2 linked regions of the Schizosaccharomyces pombe genome follow. The protein of the gene in region 2 interacts with the protein of the main gene of each other region in a pairwise test. Each region holds a gene or a part of one and is shown on either strand. Other genes may lie near its edges.

Region 1 (4,656 bases), 720 kb from region 2:
TTAGATCTATTGCGGCTTTAGCAGGCAACATGTATTCACTTTATACTGCAACCAACCCTAGCCCTTTGGTCGCGGAGTCTACAGACGACGTGATTGCTCATCAAAGAGATGTACTTTTTGAAACAATAATTGAGTTTGAAAGGGGGAAATTATTAATAGCCGCCATTTCAATTGATGGGGCTGAAGATAAACTTTACTCCAAAGACCCATTATTATTAGGGATTGTTGGAACAGAAAACGCAAAGGAAGGAATGATGCAAATCAAATCTGAACTTTTGAAAGAGTGTATCACCAATGAGCTTTCCACGCTTGGAAAACCAGTCTAACTTATTTTAAATCTATTTTGATTTAAACTCGATAATGTTTGGAGCTTTACTTGCATTGTTTGTTACAATCATAGGCTTAAGCCTGACCTTGGTTTAAGAAAAGAATGCTACAACACATCATTATATTGTTAATTTTCTCTTCCCTTTTAGCAGATTATTTTGAATTTTTCATTTGGACAAAGGATATATTGATTTTACGGTTTATTTGAATGTTTGAACTTGCTTTCTGGAATTTTTGAGACATCCTTAAAACTTGAACTAACGTTAATTTGTCCGAATTGGGCGTCGGATTAGCAAAAACAAATCATCTAAACCCTGGAAATTTTCATCTTTCTCTGCAAATCTTCTATGATGTTTTCCGCCCAAATGCTATCGATGTGTTAGTGCTGTTTTTGCTATGATTGGTTTAACTTACCCTTTCCAAGTCCTTGTATCTCTCACAGCAGTTTTCACAATATCCTGATTTTGTTTCGATTTTCACCTTCTTGTGAGCTAGAGGATCTGCATCGAAGGCATTAGGTGGTTGTCGAGGACTTTGGTTAGCCAAGGTGTTTTGTTTGTTTATTAAACGAGGTTCAAGAAGGTTAAGTGGAGACATTGCGGCGCGTTTCTCTACCGGTAAGAGGTTTTCTGGCTTTGGAAACTCTGTCGGCATTTGTTTTGCACCATCAACTGCTGATTCTGTGATATTATAGTCCCCCATGATTTGACGCACCAACACACTCGCTGAATTTTTAACAACGTTATTTTGGTTAGTTTGATTAGTGCAACTTAAGAGCTGTTTTCTGATTTCGTGAGCTGGATGGTTATGTTTTGTGATTTTTAACTCCCTTCTTCTACCAGTATTAAATGGACATCTTCCTTGTGCGGTTATAGCAAGACTTGGCCATAAGATCTCTCCAGAATCCAATGTTTTCTCCCATTCTCGTACTGCAATTGGCTTATAGTATTGTGATAAATCTCTAATGCAGAGGAAGTATTCACGAAAGTACTCGACGTTTTTGCTTGGCACGTAAAAGTCTTTGTCTGATGTACCATACACTTTTTCACCGTCTAGGAGAGATTGCAAGCACGAAGCTGAGGTATTAACCAGGCTATCAGAGTTGAGTAATGTAAAGAGGATTCTGTTCAATAGTTCTAAGAAAGTTAGCGAAGGTTACACTGATATATTAAGAAGACTTACTGTCCAGGAGCCAAATTTTCATATTGGCAGTTTTCGAAAGGTAAAGTACATCATTCGGCTGGCACATTTCTGGGTCGGTAGTCCTGGTGGTAATGAAATGTGTAACTTCAAAAGTAAATAATGTTGCTACTTTCTATATATGTGTTAGTTTTGATCTGCGCAAGTTCTTGCATGAACTACTTACGGCTCCAAGATTATTAATCTTTTGCGTAACACGACGCTTGATTTCCTCATCAACGTTGTCAAAGTAAAATATAAAGTTGGGAAACGCCAATCGATAATCTCTTTGCCAGTAACGAAGTTTGGAAACTCGAATGCTGGTTCTTGGTATATCCTTGTTTCGCGTTAGGGAAGGTTTTACACAGTAGTTTGAAAAAGCAGTGGGTGGGAGAGCCATCTTTGCTGTGGCTTTAGCAGAGTCAAAGGCATTTTGATGAGGCATGTGCGTTTGTTGTTGAGGGTACCAGTCGGAGCATGAAGTTGCGCAAGCTGCAGTTTGACACAGTTCTTTGTCCGAAGTTTCTGTTTTATAGCTAAGAGGATTTTGAATATCTCTCTTTACTTCTTCGTTTATATTTTGTATACTGGGATTTTGGTCGACTAGAGGAGATCGAACAAACGGCTGAGACTTCACTGAATAGAAGTCCATACTCTTCCGGATTGACTCGGAAAGATTTTTAGGAAGAAGAAGTATGTATATATATTCCTTGGGAGGCTGATGAATTCACCTGTTGGTTAATCCTACTTATGTCTGGCTTTAATATTCAGCAATGGCCTCGGTAAGCAAGATGCAGGTTTTCCTCTAGAAGTAAAAAGATAAACCTATCTTTTTTTCTGTGGAAGTTTGGAGGAGTATCCTGGATATATATACAATTTGATTTTGTTTGTTTACTCAAATATTTTCTCATATTCACCTAGTATTGTTTGTAAACAAAAGCCTCGCCTCGCGTATTAAGCCAGTAAATTAAACGCGCGACACGTCGCGTTGCGTATCACATTCATACTAAATAAATAAGCTACTTTGGCTCCATTTGATAGTTTTGCTGGGTTCCTTTGTAAAAATTTTTTTAGTATTCATATGATTAGAAAATATATATTTACTTGATTCAAGCTTGTAAAATAAACATAGACCCAATTTTAAATAAATAGGTACCTAAAAGTCTAGGTAACATTGTTACACTGACACGTGAGAACTTTGTAGTTAATTAATCGTCAACATAACGAAAACAACTCAAAGCAATTCCCGTAACTGTCCATTTAGGAATTAACCAAAAAAACAAACAAACAAAATCTATTTTTATTCCAATGATACTTTTATGACTCACCAAGGCGTTAATAATTGCGAAAACACATACCAATATGTTTACAATTATTTTTTTAACGAAATTCGTTAAATACTTCATGGCATTTGAGAAGTTGTATGGCAATCGTATTTAACGGAGACTTTTTCATATTCAGTATCCCTTTTCATTTGGAACTTTAAGGTTTTCCCAGCTGAGAGTTCGTTTACATCATTTTATTAGATTTTTACTTGCAACTTGGGTTCGACTTTTAGTTCACTCATAAATTGTACCATTACCATTACGCTGGTGCATAAATAACCCTCCTTCTGGTCCTCTCTGTTCTTCATTTCCATCTTTCATTTTCTATTCTGCGTATTTTAACAGTTAAACAATTGTAGAATTTATTCGAGAGATTTGCAAAATTCTGTTTTAATAATTGGTTAGGTTTAATATTCTTTTCGTCTTTCAGAAATCAAGTTTAAGTATGCAGGGTTTCAAAATAGCTCGACATTTTGAGTAAGTAGTTAATTGTTAGTTCTATTTAAAGCTACTTCAAACTTGATAATTCATATCATCTGTTTTGCATGCTCATGGAACGTACCGCTCAACCCTTGCTAATACATGTGCAATGTAACACATAAAATCAATTTTTGATATAATAATCTTAAAAAAATGAGTTTTCTAACGTTTTTCAAGGCTTCCGACTGCCCCTTCTCAGTTCTTCGCAGGAAGCTCATTAAATAGGCTTTCGTTTCTTAGGTCTAATCGAGAATTTTTAAATAAAGCCTTTTATGATCATACCACTCGCTTTCTTCCTTTTTGTGACTTAAATCCGGCTCTACTCGTAAAGGACGATAAATTGGTCACTCTTTCATATCCTCAGATATCCAAATATTTCACGTTCTCCCCTTTTGAGCACACTGATAAACAAATTGCTGAACGATTTTCCAAAGGAGAAAGTTTACCTGTCCTTGTCTACATGGGCAACGAAGAAAGAAATGGACCAACAGATAATTGGAGTCAACACAACGTTTTTGCCATTGACATTACTGGCATCGATGAACTTCAGCAATCGATACGAGACAATGGAGGTACTTTCGTTAATCTTCGCTCTATCTTCACCGAACAATATCAATTGAGCGCATCGGATTCTGGTGCTTGTGCTTTTGCACGCTCTATTCTTGACTGGATTTCAAGGTACAGATTTTGCCCGGGTTGTGGAAAACGCAACATACCTACTATGGGCGGTACAAAATTGGTCTGCAGTGACGTTTTATTGAACGACGACTCAAACTGTCCTTCAAAGAAGGGTATTAATAATTACCAGTATCCTCGGACAGATCCATGCGTAATAATGGTTATATTGTCTCATGATATGCAACACATTTTACTTGGAAGAGCTTTGCGCCATCCGAAAGGACTGTATGCATGTCTGGCAGGCTTTCTGGAGCCAGGGGAAAGCTTGGAAGAGGCCGTTGTCCGTGAAACCTATGAAGAATCTGGAGTTGACGTAGAAAAGGTTTTATATTATGCTAGTCAACCCTGGCCTTTTCCTCAAAGTTTAATGTTGGCTTGTTTTGGAATTGCCCGAAAAAATGCTAAAATCCAGAGAGATAAAGACTTAGAATTAGAGGATGTGCGTTTTTTTTCCCGAGAGGAAGTTCTTCGTTCTTTGGAATGGGATGCCAAGGATGGACCTGCTCCAATTTTATTTCCCCCTAAACTATCCATCGCTAGAAATTTGATCCAAGCATTTGCATATGATGATTGGACAAATTCACAAGTTAAAATGTAAAGGAAGTTATAAAAATGGAAGTTTAGCTACTTTTCCAAAGATAATAAGTGAATTTTCTAAAAAGGTTGA
Region 2 (8,692 bases):
AAACATCTTTTTCTTTTAGGTGACTTTTCGCTAATCAGCTATGTAAAAGTTTTATGTGGTGTATTTAATATCCCTAACTACAATGCCTTCATTCTAAGTGTCGAGGATCTACTTCCGGAAAATATATCCTTTGCCGCCGTTGCTGATTTTCAGTTATCAAAGTATAGGGCAATTAACGACAATTCTGTATTAAGAAGTGACGATTTCTCATCAAAAGCTGTGTTCGACAAATACGTTGAAAGGGAGTGTTATTACTCAGAAAATGCTATTAGTAAAATTTTTCAAAACTATCCTGATTTGGCTGTCCTTTTTGAAGAACTACAATATGCCGAGGGAAACAATGATCTTCTATCTGCGATTTTGAATACCAATAAATATACTTTGAGACCTGATGATTGTGCTCCATACTTTTATCGTTTAATGGATTTGTGCTTACGTTATTGTTATAGCCAAAGTAATGAAATTGGTACCAACGTTTTATGGAGCATGACTACAAGTTTCATCAACATTTGGCGTATTCATCCTGGAACATGTTGTTGCGTGGTCTTAAGTATATATTGGCCTTATCTTGAGGATAAACTCCTAAAGTTTTCGGACCTTGGAGATATTTTTGAATACTTCTTTTCTTTAATTCATGATTGTGATTATGCGATTTGGTCAGTCCATGACGAACACCAATTTTCGGAGTTATTGGCGTTTTATCATAGAAGAGCTTTAAATGACTTAGTAGAAGAATTGGGGAGCTGTCCTCGTTCTAGTGATTCTTGCCGAGCTATCCTTGATATCCTTAATAATTACATCTTTTCATGTCCGCTTTTTCTGGTAACCCCTGAAGAACTAGAAGAGCAATACACCGACTTTTTTAAAAAACTGAAAGAAAAATATGGGGAGTTTTTCCAGAATCTACTGAAGAAAGAACTGACTGGGAAGCCTGAATCAGATCTCGAAGGGCTTCGATTAGTGGGTGTCCAATTGCAAGCCACTTACGAAAACTTGAAGTCGAATTTTAGTGCTAGAATATTTAACCAGCTTTCGGTTCACTCATTTTTTGCAGAAGCAACATGTCACTTGTTTCTTGAGAAATTACCTACCATTACCAAAACTTATGTATACTCAAATTGCAAAGAAATTCCAGATCATATCCTTGAAATGATCAATGCTCTATACCAGCAAACTCGCGCTTTAGTGGCTTGCACCGGATACCTATCGTCGGACTACCCGAAAATTTATGAAGCTTTTAGCGGTACCTTTGTATATAGAAATTTGTCGCTGATAATCGACAAGGGCTTGGCTAATGTGTTGCAAACAGTCCTAAGAGAGTCTTTCATTCCTAAGAGATCCAGATTTTATTCAGATTCAACTAAAATGATTCTTGCTCCTTTGCAGGACTGTTATGATTTTCTGCAGAAAATAGATTGGCCAAGTTCCAAAGATGCAAATCGTTTTTATTTGCATCTTGGAAAACTTAGTGAAAACTACATTCATTACTACGTTGACAGCATGTATGCATTGTTTATTTATAGTACCGATATACCATTGAAAGCAGAACCTTTAGTTCCTGATCTTCCGGTGAAGCAGCTTAAAGAAAAAGCTAGTCATTTTAAAAGACATTCTGGGGACCCAAATTTTTTGAAGCTGTATAGGGAATCATTCACCCTAATCAATACCGTCAGTTTAGTGAGTGGTTGGTTAAAAATGCTGCATCAAAGGATTGATTATAAAATATTGACAGAGAAGGTAATGCACTTTAAAGATATGGAAGTACCATCTGCGACTGTTATAATTTCCATTAAGATGGCCCATCTTTTGGTAACCCCAAAGGCCCCATATTCATTCTCTGTTTTGCTCCAAGATCCTGAGTCGGAATTTTGTGTACATACTCGAGATGTTTATGACGAGCTAGTTCCCAATTGGAAAGAAACGTATCAGATGGAGATTACAAACGTAAAGCGTTTTAAATTAATTATATATCAGAGGAATATACACACTGGATTGGAGACTGTATATGGTCATGCAACACTAGAAGTTGATCCCGACAAACTTAAGCAAGGCCACGGAAAAGATGTTTGGCTTGATATCACTAATAAGGGACAAATTTTGATTGGGTTGCGTGTGCTCTTGAAGAGGGAAACACCAAATTATTACTGCTTTGCCCAAATGGAATACCTTACCGTTACTGAAGTAAAAATGCTAAATGTACTGATGATTTCTCTAAGTAAATTTATTCGAAATTCCTTAAGAAATAGTGGGTTAATGGATTTCGTGCGTTATCTTGATGGAGACGAAAATGATAACGCAGAGGCTGAGACTAAAGAAAAGATGGACGAGTTGCAGGCCCGGTGTGAAAAAGAGCAGCAGTCATTGTTGGCAGAGCTAGATGATTTTTTTTATTGGATTTATGTAAACTTGCTCCCGAAACCTCTTTTTTACTTGCTTTCGCGGCTTTGGTTTGGCTTGTTGGAGACATTTCGAGATATTTTAGTGCCTCCAGTCACAGATTCTACCCTAAGGAGAATTCCGTTGAATAAGCGTGAACTCAAAATGGTCTATTCGTGGTTACAATTGTTTTACGATTTTTTTCGGAATTTTCAAGATATTGCGCCATTTGATTTTTTGAATACCGATGAGTACAAAAGTGTGATGGCTATTAAAGACTATTATTTTGTAAAGTCTAAGGATGTCAAAAGAGTGAGTAGTTAGTTAACTACGGTAATGATGGAGACTTCTATTAATGTTTATTAATTTACTGAACGATACTTTTAATTTAATGAGCACAGTTGCTAATTTATTTTATATATATACAAATATGTATGTCATACGTCTATCATAAAGTCGCGTGTATTAGTTGCTAGGCTGAAATTATTTATTAAGCAGCTAGCTTATAACACTGCATTGTACACAAGAATAATGCTGAAAGCTAAAAATTAAGTTATGCTTACGATGATTACGCATTTTCTACAAAAATGAAACACACCATACAACCATAACAACAGGTTACAACAAAAGTCATAAATACATTTCTATGTAAACAAAAACAGATTTTTTTTAACGTAAAGCATACACATAACCGCACAGCCTTTAGAACGTCCAAACCATAAAAGCAAGTTATAATCATACATAAACATAACAAATGCCTTTAAGTCCCTTAGATAAGACACAAACATTAACCCTTGACTCAATGTCAGAGGCAATAGGAGATTAAAGTCGAATAATTACCAAAGGAACGGGAAAGGATTCCAAAAATTGCCATGAAGTTCAGGTAATGTTGGAATGCGGACATTGTGTACTTCGTCAGATTGCATCATTATATAACACAAATGGGAATACCTATAATAGATATACGTGGGCCATATGTTTTAACTCATTAAAGTCGGTGGTATAACTAGCCTCAACTAGTAGAATTAGTCATTTAGTTGACTTCTTTGTGCTTGCCATGTTCACGATGGGGAATGATTTTTCCGTCAGTCAAAATTTTAGTGACAACATCAACGTCCTTGCTAGTACCAAAGGTATTCTCAAGTTCTTGTTTGGAAGCAGTAATTAATTGACCTTCGTTACCTTTGTTGTTGCTAGTTGTAAAAACTTGAAAAGAGTCGACGATCTCAGTTAAGGGAACAGTCTTGTCCTTGCGCCATCTCATGACATCGGGACCGTTTGAGGCGATGATAATAAAGGTAGTATCCTCAGGTTGGTAACAAACACGGGTTTGGTTGGCCTTAGAGCTAGACATTTTGGAAGTATTGATAAATATATTAATAGACGGTTGGACAATGCAAAAAAATAAAATTTAATAGTCTTGTGAAAAGAGAGAACAAACTATAGAATTATCCAAATACAAACAAACAATTCTTATTTTTGTGTGAAACGATGCTCAACTAGGTTGGGAAAGGAAGTCCTTTTATAGTATTAGATTTGGGTGGAATAAATGCATTTTCCATCAATATGTCTAAACGTAAGTCTCTAACAGCGTCATAACATATTTACATCATTACTATGGGAAGCGAATAATGACATCAGGCGATATGTTTGTTTACCGTGTGTTAAATCCTTACAGTAAAATAATTAACGCACGATAGCACCTTTTGTCCTACACTACTTCATTACTCTCTCTGGTGCCCGACTTTTGTTTAGAGATGGTTTAGTGTGAAGTTAAGAAAAAAATGTTTCCCCTATATATTCAATCTCTTGGAAGATAAATAAAGGAGTAGTTTTTATTCAGTATTACACTTCATTTTTTCCTTTGATACGCTCACAAATCAATCTCTTTACACATGTAGCTTAAGAGGTGTCAATACCTACCTCTTTAATATGATAGTCAGTGTACATACTATTCTCATAACATTATCGCTAAAGAGTATACTGGAAAAACAAAACATCGTTATTTACAATAACACATTAGAAAGCCGGTGCGCAATCAACACTTAGTGACGTTGTAAACAATACGCAATCATCTGTTTAGTGATTTCACTCACGCAATGGCCCACGTCAGTAAGAGTTTGAAAGAGATGGATAATGGAGTACGTGACTGTTTGACTTTTTTCATGATCGAAACTTCTCGGCGATCTTTTGTTTACATTTTGGAAAATATCTTTTATCATTATGAAGAAAGGAAATTGGCTTATTTTGAATTCGGCTTTTTCTTAGTTTAAGGTTATTGTACTTTTAATTGCTGATTTGTTTCTTATGTACTTTATTCGACGACGTTGACACATCTGTTGGCTGATTCCACTATAATGACTTGACGCTACAGGCATTGTAACGATTAAAGTAGGTTAATGTTTGTCAGAGACATCTCATCCTATCTAAACATTTCGTATTTAGTCTGCTCATTTGGTTAACCTTTTACTGTACTTAGTATTTGACCGTTACACATTCGCTTTTCTCACGTGCTTTGGTTTTTGAGATGTTTGCAACGCACGCAACTTCAAATATCTTTATCTTTGACATTCATTATTATTAAGAGTTAATCGATACAATAAATAAAACTTTGAATGATATTATGGAATTCCGACGTGTGGAAATTTCTCCATCTTTGGCAGATACACGTCTACTGCTCTACAGTTGAAGGGAAATCACTTCGAAAAGGGTTTTCTGCCTCAAATCCTGACCGGGTAACCCCACATGCATTAAAGAATTCGTGCTGAAGAGCTGTTTTGGCCTTTACTCGTTTCGATGCTAGATAATTGTTAGCCATTCAATTTTTAATTAATTCCTGCCATGTTGTTTTATACAACTGGAGTTTGGAAATCAAGATACTAGTTTCAGAGTGGATAGCCCCAGGCTTCGTTAAAAAACCTAAAAAGCATCATAAAAGAAGACAATCCATGAATGAAACAATAAAAAAAAGGCCATTTCGGTTCGCGTTTTTTTTTGTCATTTAAGAATTTTCCTCCTAGTCCACTTCCTAGTATTTTGTTTTTGGGATTTGCACGTACGATGTAATTCTAATAACTTGTCCAACAAGTCAATGGCTAAAGCCACTTGATAATCTGAGCTTGTCTCTAAAATTAAATTCTCATCATTCTTCGTAATGCTAGCAATTAGGTCTAGCCAATTATGCTTTTGATCTAGTAGAGTCGGAATGTTATCTGACCAAATTTGTCCTGAGAGAAATACAAGTTAGCACCTCAAAAGTTGTCTCAAAAAGATTTGAAGCATTGGTTAGAAAACGATTTCTCTCTTCGTTTTTTCAACTTTTACGCTCAAGTGTTTAATAACTACTTACCATGTAATAATGCGCAGTTTGACATGCCATTTCTTCCAAAGATATGTGCTAATTCTACGATTGCATCGATATCATCTTCACAGCGGAAAAAAGGATATCGATGTGTTAAAAAACACAACAAAATGACTCCCACTGACCACACATCAATTGAGGATGTTTGATTTTGGCATCGAAACAATACCTCAGGCGCTCGAAATCCTCTTGTTCCGGCTCGGTCAGCACGTTTTGTAGGCCTTGGATCATGTAGCAAGTAACCCTCTGGAGGATCTGCTATCGTTTTCTCAAATGGAAAATAATCGTAATATTTTCCTTCTTGCTTCAGTTTTCTCAATTTATCGACACAGCAATTTTCTGTAGGTGCATCTGCCTCTTGCCATTGAGCTAATCCAAAGTCAAGTATGACTCCCCTTTGGGTGTAAGGATTCCAAGCAAAGTTACCTGGTTTGATATCTCGATGAATTATGCCCTTTGCATCTATATGTGCCAACCCTTTCAAGAGGTCTCTTAAGTACGCACCAATTTCTGGAAGAGAATATTTCATATAGAAGTCCCGGAACTCTGCATGTTGTATAAACGGTAGTACAATTAACACTTGATCTTGATGTCTTACAGCAGTTATCATATTTAGTACACAATCACTGCCTCGTAGTTCATGTAGCATCTCAAGTTCAGTTTGGATTCTTGAGGGAAGAACGGTGGCATAAATTCTTTTCAATGCAACAAAATGGTTTTTTGGTCTCTTGGTTTTGTCATGGGGCATCTGATCTTCTATTTGAGATGATATCCAGTAGGAGTTATCGTAGCTATCGAAATGTCTATCCACCGCTTTAAAGACGCTGCTAAAACTTCCTGCTCCTACTAACTTAACCACATGATAGTCTTCTTCAATGGTAGGGAATGCTTGCACCAATTTAGCAATTTCTGGTCGATCTTCTCGATCTACATCACTGGCGTATACACCTGAATTTCCGAAAGGTAATAGCATGGAAAGCATTTCCTGTTTTAATTTTTATTTTAGTCGCCTTTTGTTTGGTAAAGTGCGGGCTGTTAGATGAGGCACAATTTTCATTAATAGTTTGTTTGTTTGTTTACTTCGCCAAACCCAAATATTTCCCTCTAAGCAAAACTTACTTTTTGTTCCCTAAGCTTTGCTATATCGGCCCAAAGCAAATGAAAATGTAAACAAATGATGCCAATGAAGCACTCCAATTTGTTTATACAAATTTTCAATCCATGATCATCATTAAACGGTAGACAGTGTCAAAGTAAATTACTAGACCAGCTAGTAATTTAAATTACATATATTTCCTTTATAAAAAAATTTACTTTAGCTCTATAACTGGTAACATTTAGAGTCCTATTTAGAACGAAAGCATAATTTATCAAAATTTTTTAGTATGTAAACAATAAACAGCACACCTGTCATAACCAATTTTTGAGATTTCTTCAACACTTGGTTGATTCTTTACTAAATTAATTTAATATTATTATTTTTTCTGTTTATTTCTTGTACATTGTTAAAGGTTTTTGTTTATTGTTTACTGCTTACTACTGCAGTTCGTTTCCAACATAATTATATGCTAGACTGTTATAAATAGCTTTTTCTTTCTATACTTTAAGCCATGCGGATACGGCAAACGAATAACCGAAATTTATTTTATTAGTGTAAAGTTATCTGGGTTCTGATGACAGCATTTTCAACTCATATATTTCCACTCTAAAAAGGATTTACTAATTTTTTTTGTTGAATACGATAACAGTATCATTCGAATATATACAATGATATCGCATTAACGAGTACGAGTTAATTTTACACTTCCGTCCCTGGCTGTTGATGTATCTTCCGCAGACAATTGCCGTATCACTGAGTCTATGCTAAAGACATTGTAAGATTCACGTTAGAGAAGACCGTTTTTTTATTTTTTTTAAGCTACAAAGAAAACTTCGGGTTCACAAAATGAAATTCTTTCTAGGATCTGCTTTATTCTTAATCCTTACTTTTATCAATCTTGTTCGGGCTGAATTTGAGTTCATCACTCCTGCTGAAGGTATGTTTTTTATTTAATTTTTAGTATTGTAAAACTGACTTTTGTTTAAGATTCTCGATGGGCTAGAGGATTTACTTATGCTGTCAAATGGAAACAACCCACTGAACAGTTTGTCGAAATTGCTTTGCAATATGCCGACTCCAATAACACATTGATTACGAGCAGTGGTGTTATTCCTTCCAACCAAACTTACTGGATGGTAAAGATAGATAAGAAATGGCTTATGAAGATGGACAACATTACTGCGCGAGTTGTTGCTGTTCCTCAAAATGGTACCGCCAGCACGGTATATGTGGGTCCACAGGTCCTATTAGCGAACACGTTTTACTGGAAGATGGTAGTGGATGTTTCCCCTGCATTTTCTGTAAACCCGATTGACAAGAAACTTGCAATTGGGTTATCCGTTGGTTTATCCTGTTGCATACTGATCGTTCTATTTCTTCATTTTGCAACTAGGAGAGAAAGAAGGATTTTAAAAAACGAGAAAGAGCTGGAAATGTCTTCATATAGAAAGCATTAGCGTTTCTACTTTTCTGCGCCAAAAAATATACTATCTCATTCATCAGAACTGTTTCTATAGAGTAAATGGTCCATTATTAATTGGAAGGTAATACGCATTGCTTCTTAACTTTAAATTCAATGGCCTCTTTCACCATTCCTTGTCTGTCCGCTTTACTCCATTATTCGTTCCTTAATCACGCATGCTTCCAATACAGCTTTTGGGTCACATGTTTATTTATCTAAGGTACTTTTCATGTAAAATACCATTATTAGATTTACCCAAATTGACACTTTGGGTGTGTAGTTTTGCATTCTTATCTCACAACTTTTCCAATTGTCGCTACCGCATGCTCCTTTATTGTAATAATGAGGCCATCATTTTTTAGTTCTGATGGCTAGACTTTATTGTTTAATTTAG

The links. The genes of interacting proteins can lie anywhere in the genome.
Region 1: the proteins of spo4 (region 2) and spo6 interact in a two-hybrid assay, tested with the Schizosaccharomyces pombe proteins (one study listed by BioGRID).

Annotation. Positions count from the first base shown.
Region 1 is NC_003423.3:3,100,786-3,105,441, reverse strand, and holds spo6 (Spo4-Spo6 kinase complex regulatory subunit Spo6), read right to left. Parts: upstream 2,346-4,656; 5' UTR 2,159-2,345; coding exon 1,694-2,158; exon of another isoform or gene 1,643-1,693; coding exon 1,510-1,642; exon of another isoform or gene 1,464-1,509; coding exon 742-1,463; exon of another isoform or gene 696-741; coding exon 591-695; 3' UTR 501-590; downstream 1-500. Other genes in the region: guanyl-nucleotide exchange factor Lam2, read left to right, coding at 1-326; SPOM_SPBC1778.03C (NADH pyrophosphatase), read left to right, coding at 3,277-3,308, 3,489-4,587. UniProt on the Schizosaccharomyces pombe protein: May act as a kinase regulator. Essential for progression of meiosis II and sporulation.
Region 2 is NC_003423.3:3,825,205-3,833,896, reverse strand, and holds spo4 (serine/threonine protein kinase (DDK family) Spo4), read right to left. Parts: upstream 6,720-8,692; coding exon 5,726-6,719; exon of another isoform or gene 5,604-5,725; coding exon 5,436-5,603; exon of another isoform or gene 5,176-5,435; coding exon 5,048-5,175; 3' UTR 4,937-5,047; downstream 1-4,936. Other genes in the region: C2 domain protein Git1, read left to right, coding at 1-2,700; SBDS family protein Rtc3, read right to left, coding at 3,410-3,730; protein psg1, read left to right, coding at 7,683-7,773, 7,824-8,293. UniProt on the Schizosaccharomyces pombe protein: Required for the initiation of meiosis II and progression through anaphase II.